Linked DNA regions of Callithrix jacchus. The main gene of each other region encodes a partner of the protein of the gene in region 2 in a complex. Links are inferred from orthologs where the notes say so. Each region holds a gene or a part of one and is shown on either strand. Other genes may lie near its edges. The genes, in order: ARPC5 and ACTR3.

Region 1 (4,550 bases), on a different chromosome or scaffold from region 2:
GTAGTAACATCTCTGGGTGGTGGGACTATGGCTACTATCTTTTTAACCTTTCCATATGTCTGAGCCTTCTACAATAAACATTTAGTATTTGTATGTTTTTAAAAAAATCTTTAAAAAGCAATTACAATCTGTTTACTTTTGTAAAGGTTTGTTATTTTTCAAGCCTTTGTCTAAATTCAGCATGAGTGGTCTTCTCTAAAAACACACACAGATGATTTCACTATCATTTGAACTTACTGTGTCTTACCACGCAGCATTATTGTAACTCTACATTACAGGGCTACTTTTTCATGTGAAATTCTTGCCTATCAAACTACATTAGAAGCTATTCTATGTCAAAGATAGAAAAAGGTAAAAAATACTGTTGTTGTTTTTTGCAACTGCAGAAGAGTTTGCTAAGAATAAGATATCTCAGAGGTCACTGTGTTGTGTCTGCCACTCACCTTCACCGCCTGACTCTTGGTGTTGATAGGGGGGTTCTTCAGCGCTGCCTGTAGGGCAGCTGTCATGTTTCCTGTGGTGGAGGTTAAGGGTATAGCAACAAAAGGATGGCCCCCAGGAAAGCATTATAACCACCGGTTCTTAAGACTTTATATATAAAAAGAAAATTACTTTGGTTACCATGTTCAATACCAGATATTCAATGTGTTGGTTTCTAGGATGTTAATCAAGGGCAAAATATCAAAAGCAAAACAGAACATTAGAATTTCTTTTTAATAAAGCAAAGACTGGCTCGCCCCTGGTTCTAACTATCAAATGAATACCTTGATAATCTTTCATTTCCCAGTTAGACACATATGCAAACATTACCTGGAGAAACCCTAAGAAGAAACCCTAAGATATGTATCAGAATTATTAGTCCCCCAAATGAAATAACCGATTATCAACTAAAATATGTTTTTTCATGTGATTCTAGTTGAAAAAGTAAAGACCAAACTTTTACTAGAACTATATTCTATATTAACTAAAATGCTGGTAGAAAATGCTGGCAGATTAGCCATCTGAATGATAGACATTAGCAATCTCTCAATATTGATGAAAAGAGGCATCATAGAAGATGTAATAATTCATATGACCCTTAGGTGGCAGCCTAAGTTTTTGCTTTAGATACTTTCTCTCATATTTTACAAAGGTTATTCAAACTGTGTTAGACCATACCTATTAAATTCAGACTCTTTTTGAAAGCACTAGTGAGTTAGCAAGCATGAGAAACGGAAGGCCAATCAGACTGTCAGAATGTTCAGCCATTCCCCTAAAAGGAAAACCACAGAGTTCACTCGTTCCTCCATCTCCAGCACCCCACCACTAGGGCTGTCTTTCCTGGCTGTATGTAAGAGTAAGAAGAGACAGTATCTTTATATTTTAAGATGAACTGATGAAAAAGCAGATCCACTGATAGGGATACAGCAGTAACATTTAAGAGTCACCACAAATTACCTAAAATACATTGGGGTTTCATAAAACATCATCCATCTCAAATAATGTTTTTACAAAGAATGTTCACCCTTTATCTTCTGAAGAAAAAGGTCTCACACACACAAAATCTCTGGTTGATAAGCTGCAGGGATTTCTAGAGAAGCATGCCTTACGTAGACTGGCTCATTTCTTTATGACCCCCAAGCACTGAAGTATTTAAATAATGCAAAAGAGCAACAGCTAACTGTGAAAGTTGTGGCAATCAAAGCAATACCTATACATTGATAAATGTTTAATGCTGTATTTAGGTGCCTTTATAAAAGAATACAGTTGCCATTAAACATTTTCACTCACACATCTCCCCAATATAATTTAACAGGACATTGTTGAGGAGAGTCTTCCTTATGAATACACTCAAGAGAAGTGCATGCAAACCCAGTAACCGAGATTCTCTAAAACGACAGCCTCGGATTTTTGCAGCATTTACATCGCTCTAAAAAAGATCCGATGCATACGCGAATCAAAATTGATGAATATTCAAATATGCAAAAACCAGAAACCAGGAACTGACAGCCATATTTTAACTAACATGGAATCAATTTTAGGATTACAAAAATGATTCTGCTTTATACAAATGACTCATCTTCTTATTCATTGGGGTTTATTTTAAATATTTCCAAGGATTCTCCACATGCGTTCCCCGTCTTTTTTTCATTATCCTTTTCTTAGCAGGTAAAAGGCTCCAAGTTTTGTATTTTTTGTATTCATTCTCCTCCCCCGATTAACAAATTCTGTGCAATGTATACTTTGCCAAATCCCCCCCCCCTTTTTTTTTAAAGCCAATGGGCTGAAAGCACAGGAGGCCTCAATTTTCGAACCTTTCCATCTCCCCGCTCCCCCTCAGTAAGGAATAAACTACCTTAATGCTACCAATAAGAAAAACACAACAAAAAACAAAGCCACTATGGAAAGACGTCGGGTCCCCACCATCGGAGATTTCTGGAGAGAATGTGACCCCAGAAAATAGAGTTCTAGGAAGAAAAACTTAAGCGCTCGGCACCAGCCTTGCCCACCAGCCCGGGCCGCCTTCCCCTGCTCCGCGAGGGCGCGGCCGGCGGGACCCGTAGCCGAGGCAGGCACTCGGGCGCAACCTGAGGAATCGGGGGGCGTGGAAGGCGCGCGGGGGAGGGCAGGCTTCCAAGAGTGGGACCCTCGCGTCTCCCGGCTACTGGGGAGGAAACGGAAGCTCCCCATGCCCTCGCAGAGCGGGAGACCCCAAAGAGATAGGTTTCGTCGCGGGTTGAGAGTGCAGTTCCGCGCCGGTGCCCCGCGGATCCTGCAGGCGCCCGGGTCCCCGAAGAAGAGCTGGCTGGGCTGGGGTGGGGAGGGCGGCAAATGCAAGGATATTGCCGCAGGCAGGAGTCCACCTCGCCCTCGTCGGGCCCGGCCTGGCCGTCGCCCCCATCTTCTTCGTCCACGAACTTGTTCTCGTCATATTCATCCACGTCCACCTTCCGGAACCGGGCCGACGACACTGTGTTCTTCGACATCCCAATCCCGACCAGCGGCAAAAGCCTCTTGTTGCTGCCTCTACCTCAGCAAGCCCAGCCCAGCAGCCCACTGCCCGACGCCTGATTCACTTCCCTCTTCCGTTCTGGGGCGTCGCCGGCAGCCGTGACTCGGACGGTTCTGGGCCTGCGCGCCGGCCTCGCTTCTTCCTCCTCAGGTTCACGCTCTCCTGGCGCCTCCCACGCCGCCCCCGCTCTTCCACGGGGAGCGCGCGCGAGGGAGGGAGCGCGCAGGCCCGGGCTCAGGACACAGCGCGCAGGCCCGGGCTCTCCGCAGGAAAGGGGCGGGGCGGGGCGAAGGAGGCGGGGGCGAGAGGGAGGGCAGAAAGACGGACGGCGGGCAGAGGTAAGAGGCGATTGGTCGTCCGAGTGCGTCACGTGATTCCCAGGGGTTCCCATAGAAACGCTTTTCTCCGGTCCAGTCTGAGGGGTCTGAGGTTGGCGGCGATGGGCAGCAGCGGCGGGTGGCCTTGGCTTTTGCTGCAGCCATCAACGACCTGTCATCGGGGTCCTGCGTAAGGTCCGGCTGGCTGGGACTTGGCTGTGGGTGGGATGGACTGGCTGCCGGACCGAGTCCCCTGCAGTTGGCAGGAGTATGAGGCGGAGTGATGCACACCCGGGCGCCCAGCATCGTTCTAATTGCCGAAGACGTTGCCTCGGACTGTGCGCTGCCAGGGGCTGCGTTCCTGAGCAGGAAGCCCGTTTCCTGGGGTTGGAACTACCCTACTTGTCCAGCGGGAGGTCCCCAAGGACGGAGTCGAAAGGTCAAATCTTATCTGTCAGTGCTGTGTGACAGCATCGCGACGGGATCTGCAGAACCTGAACTCGGTATCATATCCATTCAGAGGGAGGGGAAGGTGTCCTGGCAGGCGCTGGGGTCGGGTTCTACAAAACTGGGGTGAATTTGTAGAATTTGGGAAAGGGTCATTGGCATCTTAAAATAGGTGGTTGTTTGGAGCAAGAATGCTCGAAGAGGGTGAGGGTAAGTTAGGCTCTCTAGTGCTGGGGAAAAATGTGTAGGATTAGTGGAAAACAGACCTTTGAGATTTATATTATGATTTAAGATTGATATGATTCCATCTAGGCCAGATTTTTAAAAAATTATTTGACATCCCCATTTCTGGAATGTAGGAGATAAAGGTACTACTAAGACGAAGGAAATGGTAGTTGTGCTGTGTGTATTACACTGAAGAACAAATATTTGCAGGATAAAATTAATTTGGACATTGGCTGGACACTGCTCAGGTGTGGGTCCAGTTTAGTTGGACCTTGAGCAGAAGACTGGCTGTTGCCCTGTTGTGTACCTCAATCTTTGGTTTCCTGTGCTGTGTCGAACACTGGGCTTAGAATCAGAAAACTCAGGCTGAAGTCTTGACTCTTCCACTCATAATATTTGAATGAGGCATGTCACTTAAAATTCTGTCTCAGATTCCTCATCACTGAAATGGAGCTAATAATGTGTACTTCACAAGATCGTTCTTAGGATTAAATATCATGGAAGGGTTTCCAAGCTCTAAAATTCTACATAAATGTCAAAGGCATGTTACTTGTACCATTGGTTTTGGC
Region 2 (4,390 bases):
GACCAAGAAAGTGTGTAGGTAAGGCTATCAATGTGAATGAAGGAAGTATTCCTTTTCAAATTCTTTTCAAAATAAGTATTCTCTTTTATGACCTGAATCTACGAGATTCATATGTTGAGTTTTGCTGGACAATCCCTAACAGTTTTGGGATTAAGTTTCAAGTCTCCTAACTCTTAACAGCCTTCTTATCTAAGACAATCAAGTTTTACAGATGACCATTTTTTTTATCAGCCACCTTTTCCCTAATTTATATAATGAATAAAATGAACGACCTGATTCAGGTTATAATTTTTTGCTTAAACTAAGTGGGCAATTGTAATCTAGAGACTTAAGAGCTGAATGCATTCTCTAAAGCATAAAGAAATAGACAAATTATAGGTGCACAATTTGCATTCGGGGACCACAGAATTTTGAAATGTAAAAATTCCCTATTAAGGCCATACTTAGAGATGCTTATCTCAGGGGCCCAACCTCAAGGACTTATCCATGTGTTAATAAAGTTGAAGGTGTAACTTTCCTGGAAGAACCACTGGCAACTTAAGAGACCAAAAAGCCTTTTGAGGACCAAAATAACTGAAACTCTAAAGGAAGATTTTCAGGTAGTGACAAATTGTAAAAGAGAGTGAGCTGGCAAAGGGACTCCTAATCAGTTCCATTAAAATCATGAATGCAGTTAGCAACCTCTCCTTGTCGGGGAAACCAATGTAATAATGTAAAAATATACTACTGTAAAAATCAAAATTTTAAAACAGACATATCCTAGATTAAACTGAACCCCTCTCCCTGATCCTACTGGTCATTCAGCATGTTTTAAATTCAAGGTTGCCCTTTAGGAAAGGAGGTCACTTAAGGACAGTTAACCTCAATGAGACATCTAGTATACTAATTTGAAACTATTTCAAAAGGGAAAAAATGGAAAGAATAAAAGTAACATACTACTTGAGATGTTACCATAGTCTTTCTTAGGGCCACAATTATTTACACTATTTTTATTGACAACTCAGTAATTTCTAAAACATTAATTATGTAGCCATATTGTCACTTCAACAAAACATATTGGAAAAGTCCTACTGACTCAGGTCAAATCTAATTTTAAAACTGAACCTAGACATAAAACTACTCACCAATTAAACGAAGAAGGGAGAAAGAAAAAATATTATTGGTTCAGAGAAATGAGACTGGATTAAGAAGAAACTAATCAAGTGTTCATCAAAAAAATACATAGATGTTCCAAAGCTCATCTAGGCTAGTGTTTTCCTGGGGAGAATATTAAGTTGGTTGTTTCTCTACCTGACTGTGATTTTAGAAACTGCCACACTAGCTAGTTATGAGAATGAAGATTAAAGAAATTTTACATGGAATAAAGAGTGAAAGACATACAATCTTTTAAGGAACAATAATGAATATTATTAATAATTATGATTAACAATAATTTTTTTAAAAGCCTTGCAGTCCACCTCTCACGCCTTCCCCCTCAAAAATAAAACTGGGAGTGTTTGGGAATTAGAGCGATGTAATCACAGAAAAAAGAAAACAGTTTCCTATATGTCATCGTGAAGCAGTGATTCTACATTAAAATAAAAGTAGCCTATTCTCTATGTAGTTATACAAAGTGTGGTACAACTCTCTAAAATGTCTATTAATACAAAATGAATGACCACTTTAAAGCCATTCTATATTTTAGCAAACAGCTCTACAGATCTAAGAGTAACTATGTGCAACTTAAACACATTCCTATATACCTCTATACCTTCCTTCCTCCTTCCTTCAAGATACCATCAGAGAAGGAACGTATGCAACTTAAATTATTTTCCAGGGTGTTTCCTTTCTCCCCTCTCCATGAAACACAAGTACATTTTTTTAAGTTACATGAATGAATACCAAGCACCGTTAATTCCGTCTCTTTAAAACCTGCTTAATTTTAAAAGTACTAATAAGTTGTGTTCAGGTTGGAAACGAAAAACTACCTTATAAGGGTATAAAAGACTGAAAGCAGGAAGCGGCTTTGACAAAACTAAGGAAGTTGCAGCGCGCTTGCTCACTGGGGGACTTTTTTGAGGCTACAGAAGTAACACATGACATTTTTCTCTCTCGAATTAAAATGTGACTTGGTTCACCGGTTAAAATGCAGAGGGAGATGGAAATGACCGGGAGTCGAAAAGAGAAGGTGGGTGGTCAAATGAAAGCCCCGCTGTAGGTTCCCATTTTCAGAGTCCGATTCTTCCCCTTCCCCACCCACACCCTGGGCAGAGTGTTGTCACAGCGATCTTGCAAAACCTACCAGGAGCGCTTCTCTTTTCTAGCTCCTCTGCCAGGCCAGTCCCCGAGCACGGCCCCTGGGCCCCCAAACCCACGGGGAAAAGGGGCGCGGAAGGAAAGGAAAGCCGGATGGGTTGGGCCCGGGGACCACCCCCAAAGCGACCGTCCCCAGCACTCTTTGGGCGGCACAGCCCACCGCAGTGGGGGAAGGGCCGGGGGGGGTCGCGCGGAGGAAGCCGCTGGGAGGGTTGGAGGTTGAATCTCGGGCCTGCGCCCCCGCCCCAGTCCTAGGAGGGAGAAACTAGGGGACCGGCGAGGCCCTGGCTCCGGGCCCCACCCCTTGCTAGCCGCCGGGGCTAGGACTGACAGCCGGCGGCGGCACCTTGCCGCACCATTCATTTCCCGGTCTCCTCCCTCCCCCGCCATTTTCCTTCCTCCGCCTCAGTTTCCCCACCCCCGCCCGTCAGCCCCCTTACCCCGTGCCACAGTCCACTACACAGGCCGGCAGCCGTCCCGCCATCTTCCTCCTAGCCTGCTGCTGCTGCTGCCGCCGTCTGCTCCGTGCTGTTAGGGGCCAGAGATTGGCGGCGGGAGACAGGCGCTATCTGACCATCCACAGCCGGGCCGCCCTCACCGTCCGGGGGGTAGCCGGGAAGCCGAAGCAGTAGCAAGAAAGCAGCAGGCTCGGTCAGCGGCTATCACTTCCGCAACCCGGGCAGGCAGGCAGTCCCCGCCCTGCCCCGCCGCGGCCTCCTCCCCCTCTCTCTTCCCTCCTCCTCACTCCTGCCCCCACCCTACAACTTCTTCCCCTCACGCCGCCTTTCCCCGGGAAGCCAAGATGGCCGCCGGTGCCGACGCCCGGGCCCGGCCAGGCTCAGGCCCGGAGAGCTCCCCCTTCCGCTCCGAGCGGGAGGGGCCAGCGAGCATGCGCAATAAGGTACGTTCGCCTGCCCGGGCTCCGATCCCGAAGTTAGTGAAATCCACTGCGAGTTTTCCAGGAGGATAGAGGCGAAGTCTAGCCGAGCTTCTAGTTCTGCTTCTGAAGCTGGAAGGGGCTTTTCGGTTGCAGCCCTTGGGTTAGTTTCAGTTGCTTCTTTGCTAGATTGGGGAAAGAGTGGAAGCGCCTCCTGCAGCCGCGAATATCCTACAGGTCCTGGGAGAAAGCGGTCTAATCGAAAACGTCTGCGGCATGCATCCATTCTTAAAACTTGAGTGGCTGCTTTTCTGGGTGGAAAAGAGCGGTATCAGGGTGAGCAGTCGGGGAATGGATGAACAAAGACTTGTCACCGTGGTCCTTAGGCCTTTGTTGCGGGTTTTATTCAGTTGTACTTGTGCATTGTTACAGGACTTTAGAATGTAGCCCTGCTCCCCAACCTCCACCTCCCAGGGCTGACCTGGGTCCCTAAGGAAGGCAAACCTCCCAGGAATGTATTCTACATAGTATACGCCATCCAAATAGGTCTTTATTCAAGGCTTTTAGATTATGACAACGATTCCCCTCAGGAGTAGTAAGAGTCTACTAGCAGTATAATAGAAAGGATTAAGGGCACTCCCCCCCCCAAAAAAAGTTTTAAGTTAAAAACGGAGGCCGGCCACAGTGGGTCATGCCTGTAATTTCAATCCTTTAGAAGGCCAAAGTGGAAGAATAGGAGAGCTTAAGGCTAGGAGTTCGAGACCAGCCTGGGCAACATAGGGAGGACCCCCCACAACCATCACTCCAAAAAAAAAAAAAAAAAGAAAACTGGAAAGCCTTAAAGAAACCTTTCAAACTTTAGTGTGTATCAGAATCACCTCAAAGGTTTGTTAAAACAGATTGCTGGGCCACACCCCAGCAATTAGAAATTCACATTTCTAATAAGTTCCTAGTTCCACTTTAGAAACCTAGAAGGTTAATATCATTCCTCTCCACCAAGATTTTCTTATGATAAACCATTCTGAGTTTACTAATGTGAAGCTAAAATAAAAATATTTTTTAGAAGGAGGGATATATTATTCAGTCCATAAAATCGTGTAGTGTGGTATTAAGCTGGCCTGGGAAATGGAATTGGGTGTTTCATTTATTCATTTGACAGGTAAGTATTGCTTACCTACTCTATTATGGCAGGGACTCTGCTGACTCTGAATATTCCCT

What was found.
Region 1: ACTR3 (region 2) and ARPC5 share a complex: the UniProt entries of both Homo sapiens proteins name them as parts of the arp2/3 complex. The link is inferred for Callithrix jacchus from reciprocal best matches to the Homo sapiens genes ACTR3 and ARPC5.

What each region holds. Positions count from the first base shown.
Region 1 is NC_133519.1:41,806,034-41,810,583, forward strand, and holds the start of ARPC5 (actin-related protein 2/3 complex subunit 5), read right to left. Parts: upstream 3,062-4,550; 5' UTR 2,967-3,061; coding exon 2,823-2,966; intron 516-2,822; coding exon 444-515; intron 1-443. UniProt on the Homo sapiens protein: Component of the Arp2/3 complex, a multiprotein complex that mediates actin polymerization upon stimulation by nucleation-promoting factor (NPF).
Region 2 is NC_133507.1:98,527,446-98,531,835, reverse strand, and holds the start of ACTR3 (actin-related protein 3), read right to left. Parts: upstream 2,990-4,390; 5' UTR 2,780-2,989; coding exon 2,736-2,779; intron 2,449-2,735; exon of another isoform or gene 2,282-2,448; intron 1-2,281. UniProt on the Homo sapiens protein: ATP-binding component of the Arp2/3 complex, a multiprotein complex that mediates actin polymerization upon stimulation by nucleation-promoting factor (NPF).